2 linked regions of the Canis lupus familiaris genome follow. The protein of the gene in region 1 purifies or fractionates together with the protein of each later gene. This does not show direct contact. Links are inferred from orthologs where the notes say so. Each region holds a gene or a part of one and is shown on either strand. Other genes may lie near its edges.

Region 1 (4,957 bases):
GACAGATCTGAGCAGCCCACCTCAGGCCAGAAGAACATACTTCAACTGCTCTGTTCCACTACCTAACAGTTAAAGATAAGACCAATCCTCTTCAGAGGAACATAATAGAACCCATAGTCTTTTTTTCCTTTTCCCCTAAGGATTTTATTTATTTGAAAGAGAGCATGCACACAACAGAGACAGAACACGAGCAGGGCAGAGGGGTAGGGGGAGAGGGAGAAGCAGATTCCCCTCTAAGCAGGGAGCCCAATGTGAGGTTCCATTCCAGGACCCTGAGATATGACCCAAGCCAAAGACAGATGCTTAACCAACTGAGCCACCCACGTGCCCCTGATGATATCTTTTAAAACAGATTAAAAAAAAAAACAAGAACAGATTTTAGAATATCAGTAAACTGCAAGCACAAAGATCATATCTAGACATATCATACTTAATCAGCTACAAACCAGATATAAAGAGAAAATCTTAAGGATGGGAAAATAACACATTATATACAATCAATCACTGACTTCTAGACACCAAGAAGAGACCGTGTAACATCTCTTAAGTGCTAAAAAAAAAAAAAAAAAAAAGTAACTGTCAAATCAGAATCATACATCCAGTTCCAAGTAAAGATGAAATAGAGACATTTTTGGAGAAATAAAACCTAAGAGGATTTGTAGCCAGCCACCTACTATAAAAAATGTTATAGGAAGGTTTTTTAGGCTCAAGGGATGCAACACTCAACGGAAACCTGAATCATTAGGTAGGCAGAGCACCAGAAGTGATAAGATGTGGGTGACTACAAGGGCTTGTGTTCTTCAAAATCAAATTACAAGATCTCAGACAAACCAAATCAATAAACATTCTACAAAATAAACTATATTTTTGTTAAACAATGTTAAAATCAAAAATGACAAAGGCTAAGGATCTAATTTAAAAGACTAAGAGGGGATCCCTGGGTGGCTCAGCGGTTTGGCGCCTGCCTTTGGCCCAGGGCGCAATCCTGGAGTCCCGGAATCGAGTCTTGCGTCGGGCTCCCACCATGGAGCCTGCTCCTCCCTCTGCCTGTGTGTGTCTCTGCCTCTCTCTATCATAAATAAATAAATAAATCTTTAAAAAAATATAATAAAATAAAAATAAAAGACTAAGGAGAGAGTGTCTAGATGACTGCCTTCAGCTCAGGTCATGATCCTGGAGCTTTGGGATAGAGCCCCCATCAGGCTCCCTGCTCAGGGGGGAACCTGCTCCTCCCTCTCCCTGCTGCTCCTCCTGCTTGTTCTCTGTCAAATAAATAAATAAAATCTTAAAAAAAAAAAAAAAAGAATTAAATGACTAAAGAGATGTGTCACCTAATACACTGCGTGATCCTGGACTAGGTGCTACACAGAAAAAAATTTGCCATAAACCATATTTTGGGGATGATCAATCAAAATCAGAGTAAGGACTATAGAACAGTATAATGACATCAATATCAATGTCATTAACATCAATTTCCTGATGTTAATATTTGCCCTTGTTATATGTAAGGAGACATCCTTGCTGTTAGGAAATACACAATGAAATATTTAGGGATAAAGGGGCATCGTGTCTGCAATTTACCTCCAAATGGAAAACAGTGCACATGTTAACAGAATCTACATAAAGGGCTTACAGAAGTTCTTTGTACCATGCCCACAACATTTCTCTGAATTTGAAATTATTTCAAAATAAAAAAGTTATAAGCACTTTTCTTCTGTGTGAATCCCACCACCCTCCACTCCATCTTACCCATCTGGCACTGATACATATTTCGGGGACTCTGGTTGTGATCGGAGAAGGGGATGAAGTTGGCAATCACACTCAGCAGGCTGTGAGGGAAGAGCTCCTGGTGAGTGGTAACTCCAGCCAAAACCTCATCCTCAAAGATGGCAATGTTCATGAAGATCTGGAAGAGAGGAAGGGTGAGGAAGTTCAAGGCACAGAATAACTCACTGCTAACATATGAACTCATCCTCCCTCTGAGTTTAGGACTCAAAGATGTGAATGCAAACGTTCCCACTCCATATCATGAACACTGATGGGATCCACTGGGAAGCACGGAGAAGCTTCCAGGTCAGAAATACTGTTTGCCTGATGCATTTCATTCTAAATCTACCCTGGTCCAACTGTGAAGGACAGGAAGACAGACATTTTGAGGTAGCACAAAGCCCACAGTTTTGCAACTGCAAAGATGTAGGCAAATATTAAGTCTAATGGAATGTTCCCACCTCACCACCTGACTCAGAGTCAGGTGCAAAGGAGCTGGGCGGGATGAGAAGGCAGGTAATGTGACCACCAACTCTCTTTCTCGATATGTAAGCACAGTGAAGGAACATGTGAAAACTGCTTTGTTCTGGTAGGAGGCAGAAAGTAAATTCTGATTTTTTTCAAATGCCCAATTGTTATTAAAGAACAACAACACTTTCTTTATAAAAAGAAGTTTTCTGGTTTTTTTTTTTGTTGTTGTTGTTGTTTTGAGAGAGAGAAACAGGTGCTCATGCAAGCAGGCAGAGGGACAGAGGGAAAGAGAGAATGTGAAGCAGACTTCCTGCTGAGTGCAGAGCCCGACTTAGGGTTCGATCCCATGACCCTGAGATCATGACCTGAGCAGAAATCAAGAGTTGGACACTTAACTGACTGAGCCACCCAGGTACCCCGATAACACTTTTAAAAAAGAGTGGTTATTAAGTCTCCGAAAGTTGTGTACTGTAACAGGAGCATATACAGGCACCAATCACAATGTTCTACATACCTGTTCCATAGTTCCAATTAGTTCTTCTTTGCCTAATTCCAAGTTCTGCACAGGCCGTACCAATCTACAAGGAGTGGTAAACAGGAACAATCCTGGGTATAAACTTGGTTTTCCTGTCATAGGGATAAGGGCCACTTCCATCCAGGGAGGAATTCTTTTTTCTTTTAATACCTGTTTTCAACAGAGTTCAATTAAGAAGAAGTGATGTGTTTCAAATTTATCCTCCTGTCACCTAGGAGGTGGGTAGAATGGGAAAGGAGGCCAAATATAAAAAGCAGCATCAAGAAATTAAATTAGTGGGACACCTGGGTGGCTCAGTGGTTGATCATTTGCGTTCAGCTCAGACCGTGATCCCGGAGGTCCTGGAATCGAGTCCCATATCAGGCTCCTTGCATGGAGCCTGCTTTCCCTGTCTCTGCCTCTCTCGTGAATAAAAAAATAAAATCTTGGGATCCCTGGGTGGCGCAGCGGTTTGGCGCCTGCCTTTGGCCCAGGGCGCGATCCTGGAGACCCGGGATCAAATCCCACGTCGGGCTCTCCGGTGCATGGAGCCTGCTTCTCCCTCTGCCTATGTCTCTGCCTCTCTCTCTCCCTGTGACTATCATAAATAAATAAAAATGTTAAAAAAAATAAATAAATAAAATCTTAAAGAAAAAATTTAAATCAGTTATGCCAGTAATAACTTTGTGCCCTTCCAGTCTCATCACCACACAGAATGCTACTCACCTCATATCCAGAATTGGCCAAAGCCCTACTTTCTGGGGGGTGGGTGGTACCTCACTATGTGGCAAACTGGTAAAGGGGAGCCTAGAGGAAAGGTAAACCAAGAAGGTGCACGTGGATGCATAAGTAAAACTTTGTCCTCTGATGTCTAGAATGTAGTATATTACTGGTTTTATTTTAAACTGTACTCAATGAAAAGGCTCTTCTACCTGGAAATTAAAAAACAAAACAACAAAACTTCTACTAACCAACTCCAGGGTAAAATATAAACACACATTACAAAAATGTGAAAAAAAAATAACAAGACCTATATATCAGAACTTCTGGGGATTCACAGCTAAACAAGTCATCAACAAAAACAGATGGATTAAATTCTTAACATAAAAGCTAAAAAAAACCCAAACAAACAGAACACACATACGTAAAACCCCCACAAGTTAACAAAGATAAAACCTGAACTTAATGAGGTACAGTACCGAAAAAGGCTCAAAGCAACAAATCAAAATTCTTGGTACTTTAAAAAAAAAAACAAACCAACAAATCCCCCTTGTTTAACTTAGTCAAGAAAAAAAGGAGTGGGGGGGGGGCAGACAAATGTACTGAGTAAGAAATGACAACAGCAAAAAAACTACTGAAACTAAAATTTAAAATTATAAGTATACTCTGTACAACTCCAAGAAATCAAAATAAAATGGGTAAAATACAGGCTACCCAAACAGACCTCATTAGAAGTAGAAAACCTCTTAAACATGGTTATGATGGTAAATTCTGTTATGTAAATTTATTTATTTTTAAGATTTTATTTATTTATTCACGAGAGACACACAGAAAGAGGCAGAAATATAGGCAGAGGGAGAAGCAGGCTCCATGCGGGGAGCCCGATACAGAAACTCGATCCTAGGACCCCAGGATCATGACCTGAGCCAAAGGTAGACACTCAACCACTGAGCCACCCAGGGACCCCACCATTAGTATTTTCAAAACAAAAAAAGTTAAGATTTCTTAGATTTCTTAGACTAGGGCCTCGGTGAAACTACCAAAAAAAAAAAAAAAAAAAAAAAAAAAAAAAAAAAAAAAATGCATGCAGGTCAAAGCATTTGCCCCAGAGTCCGACTTCTGAGGTCAGCCCAAGACAAGATTCTGCAATTCTGGGGAATGTGCAGGCACTTAGGGAATTAGCTTCTGGCCTCCAGACCCCCTGACCACTCTAGACGGCCCTGGGGCTATCTCAACAACCAGAAAAGGACTGACGACTTAAGATGAAGGGATAGAACAATTCACAAAGACTCAACCTTAAAATGTCGGAGAGACTCTGCAATGCTAGGAGCAAGCTCCTTATCCACCCAGCCAACCATGACGCCATCTAGCAGGACAGGGTAGCACTCGCTGTAGGGTCGATGTGGAGCTCCATCAACTGGAGTGACCCCTGGTGGAAGGGAACAAACAGAAGGTTCACATCTGAACACTTTCTTATATTAAAAA
Region 2 (5,431 bases), on another chromosome or scaffold:
AGTTCCTCTCGATAATTCATCCCTCCACACTGTCATCAAGAGTATTCAGATGTCATTCCCATTGTACTTAAAATCCAAACCCTTACCACCCCAACTCTTCTTCCCACCATATCCATAGCCTAGGCCCTTCTCTTCCTTGCTTACCATGCTGCATATAAGCAAATTTTCAATATCTTTAATTTCTCAGACCACAGGTTTTCAGCTTCAGGACCTTTACAAAGCTATCCTGCCAGAATACTTCCTCTCCGTTGGGCAGTTAGCTCCTTCTCTTCCTGTAATCTCTGGATGAACCTCCCTGACTTTCATACCAAAAGCAATTCCCCTCTCATGTTTTCTTTCTTGATCCTTCCTATGTTTTCAAAGAATTACAACTTTAAAAAAATAATTTCAATCCTATTATAATGTATGTTCTATGAGAACAAGACCCATGTCTCATCCAATAGTGTTCTATCCAGGGCCTGGTATGTACCAGGTGCTCCATAAATACAGAAATATATTTATCCAAACATGTTGACTGAGTATAGGAAATGTAGTTTCTATGGCAGAATAGTAGAAAGAGGTCTGATTGGAGTGAATAAAAGGCTACGTGCCATAACTACCAACATGGATTTAGCCAGTATTTTCTAATTGCCTACTACCCATCAGGCATCGGGCTGCAAGTCAGTATAGTGGGTAGACAACATAAGCACTAACAACAGCATAGTAAATCCAAGACCATGAAACACAGGAGTAAAATGAAAGTACAGGCAAGTCCCCAAACCAGGGTGGGAGTCTTGACCTCTAAGTTCTCACCTACCCTAGAGTGTAGAAGAGTAAGGGTGTTCCAAGAATATGTACAGCAAAAACAAAGACCCCAAAGCACAGAGTGCTGGGAGTGAGGTGCTCAGGTCAAAGGTTAACGAGATTTAGGGTGAATTAAGAGACAAGTTGATGTAGGACAGCTAGCAGACAAGGCTGATGAGATTAACAGGACACCTTGAAGAGGTTCACTAGTATTTTAAGGTAAAAAAAAAAAAAAAAAATCACTTTCCCAACTTGGAAATTTTTCTCTTCATCCTTATTGTAACCCTGGGCTATATACTTAGATACGCACCTAAGGACTGAAGATGTTCCCTGATCATCCCAGTTTTCTTCTTTTACAGTATAAACTCTCGACCTACTCAGGTCATTTCTGACAAAATATTTTATTAGTGTCCTGAAATTAAAGCAGTAAACTGGCATCCATCCTATATATGCAACCACAAAGGTAGAACTAGATCCTAACTCTCCTGTGAATCCAAAATTCTCACAATTCTTTCAAATTATTCCCCACGCTTGAACCCAGCAGTCATAGTAAAAGATGCAAATTCTCTCATGAATTACTAAAAAATATCTAGCAAGAAGCTAAATCCTCCTCCCACTTCCACCTTTCTTTTTTAAACCCACCACAGTCTGTGCTCACGCTCTATTGCATCTCTCCTCCTTCCCCAATCATAGCCACAAGTGCACATTCTTTTGAATTCTCTTGATCAAAGTCTTTGTCTAGGTCTCTAATATTCTCCTAGCTTCCTTACGTTCACTGTTGGCTCAATTAAAAGAAAAAAAAACAAACCAAAAAACCCCCTAAAACAGTCAATCTACCAGATGAAGCAACAGAAACCACTCAAATTAGTTTAAATAAAAGAGGGAATTTATTAGATGAGTACAAAGGTTCTTGCAGGGATTCCAGCAGCTGTAATGGGTAATAGCTAGAAGCACGCCTTTGTGAAGGGCAGATGGAGTTGTAATCACAAACTTCTACTTCTGGTTTTGCAAGATCACGAAGAGAATATCCTAGAGGATAGTCCTCCCCGTATAGTGCATAAGGGACTAGAATGTGGATTCATTTCTGCTTGCTTTTTGATCCTTATATTCCTTTATGCTGGCCTCAAACTTGTCAAGCACATGTTGGCAGACATTCATGAGCTCATTCAAGCCTCTCTGAAATGGCTCAACAGCTGGAAGAGCACCTCGAGTCTGAATGCGTAAATTAATTTTGCTCTCTGAAGGATGGGTTGTAGTGTAACCACAAAATTCCACTTCCGGGTTCTTCATGATCATGTAACGAAGAGAATTTCCTAGGGTATGGTCCTCTTCGTGCAATACAAATGTCACACAGTGTCTATCTGTTCCAGCTGCCTGGACCATTTCCAGGGCTGTCTTCCTCTCGCCTTCAGCCATTGAGGTCTTCAATCCAGATATTTTTCTACACACATATTTTTTATAAAAATGAGATCATACTGAATATGGTTTGGTAACTAGCTTTTTTTTCATTTACTATATCACAATCGCAACACATTACTGCACTCCAATTACACTCAACTATTTTGTATTAACCCCTCATTTTCCTGCCTCCACATATTCTATCAATAAACACTTAATTATTGCCTCCAGTTTCTCCCTACCCCATTTGACACCGTCCACATGGCCACGAGGGCACAAACGTAAATGTTAAATATTTAAAGCTAGAATTTTCTCTTGGTAGAGTCACAAGAAAGGAACAGGATTAGAGTAGGGTGGGCTCTGCTGGAGAATGAAAGGGTATTTAAAGGCACACAAAAACACATCTTTTCAAAAATAGAGACTGCAGATTATCACCGTGCAGGCCCCACTATGGTTTCCATCTGCAGGAGATAAACTAGAGAGGAAGTTCTGAGAAGTGTCAATCAAGCAGGAGGGAGACGAGGGCTGAGGGCACCCAGGAGCGCTTCATTAGCTGCCTACACAGAGCTCTAAGTTGGGCCGCAGTCACAGGGGCTTAGGCCTGGCTGGACGCCCCAACACGAGCACTCGGCGAACACTGGCCCGGGCGCGGCCTTCCGTTAGTTTTACTTAGTCCTGCTGTTCTCCCCGGGGTGGGCGGTGTGGGGACTTAACTCCGGCCTCGTAACTTGCGCTCCCTCCGGGCCGTCTAATTGTACGGGGCGCCTCTATCAGACACGTCCGTGCGTCCTCCCCTCCCTTCCCAGCAGGGGCCCTCTCCCGGCTCAGGCGCCCCCCTCCCTCTCCACCTCCCTCTCCTCCCGCGTCCTCCCGGCCGGGCCCCCGCTGCCCCCGCTGCCCCCGCTGCCGCCCCGGCCCCGCAGGCGGACGCCCCTCGGCTCCCCGCTCCCGGCGCAGGGCGCGGCCCGCTCCGCCCACCCGCCTCCTCGGCCGTTACCTCTCCAGCTCCTGGTCCTCTTCCATCGCGGGGACGGCTTCCGGGATCCTCAGGTGGTGCGGGCAGAGCGGAGGCGCTAAGCCATAGCGCGAGGCACGCGGGCGGAGCAGGAAGGAAGGAACGACGGACGGAAGGAGCCGGGGACGGAAGGAGGGAGGAGGAGCCGCAGCGGCGCGGCGCGGCGAGGCCCAGCCGCTGGGCGGGGCGTGTACGTTCCGCCCGCAGGCCCCGCCCACAGGCCCAGCTCCCCGCGCGGGGAGGGCGGCTGCGAGGCCCGGCCGGCTCACCTGGAGCTCCAGGGGCCAGTCCGCCCGCTGCCCTAGCGGGGACAGGGGGGCCGCCCTCCCGTCCCACCTCGAGGGCGAGACCCGCCTGTGGGCGCACCTTCGGCCAGGTGTTGGCGGAGGGGGCGGGGCCTTACCTGCCGCCCCAAGCCACCGTCCTTCTTAGGGCGGAATGGGGCCTCTTTCAGACTTGCTGCTTGACCCGTGGGGCAGGGTGTCACTCCCTGGCGGGACCCCAAGCCTGACGGGGGTGGGGGGGTGGTGTTCGGGGGGATGACAGGTGCAAACTACAGGTGATCAGTACACCTTGATGAATTTCACGACAGACGAGGATGAGTTGAAGGTTGTGTGTGTCATCCGGGATCTTGCAGCCGCACACCTCAAACGGGTCCAAAAAAGCCTTCGTTTCTATCTTTAGGGGGAGGAGCGAGAGTTTGGAAGGAAACTGCTCTTCTCCCCCTTGCTCCCCCGTGCTTTCCCTCAGGGTCTTCTCTGCACCTGGAATACGTACACCCTCTCTTGCTCCGGATTTCCTTTTCCTTTTCCCCTTTCGGTTCAAACCTCACCTGCGGAACCTCCCTCTCACCTTTGTTCCCAGGTGCCCCTGCCCGCGCCTCGGCAACCTTTCGCCACCCGCACCCGCTCCCCGCCCTTTTCCCTCCGTCCCCCCTCCTCCCTTCCTCCACCTCCTACCCCCGTCGCCCTTCTCAGCCCGGTCAGTCCCGGTCCCTCGCACCTTGCCCCAGAGTCCTCTCACCCCAGCACACCTATATTCCTGCTTTCCTCGCCACCTGTGCTCGTACCCACACCCCGGTTCCCCCAGATGGTCACTGCCTCCCCAGCTGTTCCACTCTGCTCGCGGCGGTCGGCGGTGAGCGCGGATGCACTTTCCGAGCGTGTCTCCAGCGGGGGGATCAGGCGGGCGGGGGCAGCCGAGACCGAGTGGGGGAGGGCGGGCGGCCAGGGGCGGAGTGGGCTCACTCTAACCCGGGAGTGACGGCCCCGGCCTGGCCCGCCCCCCGCGCGCTTCCATAGGCGGAGCCGCGCTCTGGCCCGCCCCCTGCCCGCCCTGCGCCGCAGCCGGTTGGCCCAGCTGCTTGTCGGGTTGGGCTGCTGGGCCCTGGCGCTCGCCCCCGGGAAGGCAGCAGGGGCGGTTGAGAAGTGAAGTCTTGGCCAGAGTTTGCTTCTTGCCAGGAAATCCGCGGTGGCGGCGGCGGCGGCGGCGGTTCCCGGCGGAGCGGAGGCCGGCGGGCCGCGGAGAGCGGAGCTGGCGCTTGGCTGCGGCGCCGGGAGCCGGTGCGCGCCCCGGGCGGCCGCGCTTTCCCAGTGAGTAACTTTGCCCCGGCCGCCTGGCCCCGCGCCCTGCCCGGGTGCCGGGCGGCCGCCTCAGGTGCGGGCGTCGGCGGGCTGTGGGGGCAGAGCCGCGCCCGGGGAGGCGGCGACCCCGCGGCTCTGCGCCCCGCTCGCCGCGCTGTGGGGGACGTGGACCCGCGCCCGCGGTGGGGCTGGGCGCGCGGGTCGGGGGAGCGAGGGAGGGACGCGCGGTCCTGCGCCGGGTGCCCGGGGAGGCGCGAGGCCCCCACCCCCGGCTGTTCCCATTTGGTGGTTCCGGCCACGGGGCTGCGGCTCTGCGCGCCGCTTGCTTCTTCCAGGAGGGGAGAGGTGGGGGTGAGTTTATTTTGTGTGTGTGTGTGTGTGTGTGTGTGTGTGTGTGTGTTGTAATGAGAGTGGCACTAGCTGCCTCACGTCGGGTCTTGTGCTCCAGGGAAGGAATAGGGAGAGACCCACGGTCCCAGCCTGTTGCCCCCGAATTCTCACCTTTCCCTCGAGGCTGGAGGGGCGGGAGGGAGGGAGATCTCACCTCTGCAAGGGGGTAGTTTCAAAATACGGATCTCCAGGTGGAGGCAGTTGCACACAAAGCACCATTCGGGAAAGACCTCCCTCGCTGTCAAAGCTCTATGCCGTATGT

What was found. Proteins that work in one complex are often made in the same cells at the same time.
Region 2: the proteins of POLR1B (region 1) and POLR1D purify together in Homo sapiens (affinity purification with mass spectrometry; 5 studies listed by BioGRID and IntAct, with this or other methods). This does not show direct contact. The link is inferred for Canis lupus familiaris from reciprocal best matches to the Homo sapiens genes POLR1B and POLR1D.

Annotation. Positions count from the first base shown.
Region 1 is NC_049238.1:36,969,133-36,974,089, reverse strand, and holds part of POLR1B (DNA-directed RNA polymerase I subunit RPA2), read right to left. Parts: intron 4,902-4,957; coding exon 4,768-4,901; intron 2,924-4,767; coding exon 2,753-2,923; intron 1,907-2,752; coding exon 1,750-1,906; intron 1-1,749. UniProt on the Homo sapiens protein: Catalytic core component of RNA polymerase I (Pol I), a DNA-dependent RNA polymerase which synthesizes ribosomal RNA precursors using the four ribonucleoside triphosphates as substrates.
Region 2 is NC_049246.1:12,055,874-12,061,304, forward strand, and holds the start of POLR1D (protein POLR1D), read right to left. Parts: upstream 3,303-5,431; 5' UTR 3,205-3,302; coding exon 3,179-3,204; intron 2,225-3,178; coding exon of another isoform or gene 1,849-2,224; exon of another isoform or gene 1,648-1,848; intron 1-1,647. Other genes in the region: DNA-directed RNA polymerases I and III subunit RPAC2, read right to left, coding at 1,849-2,224, 3,179-3,204.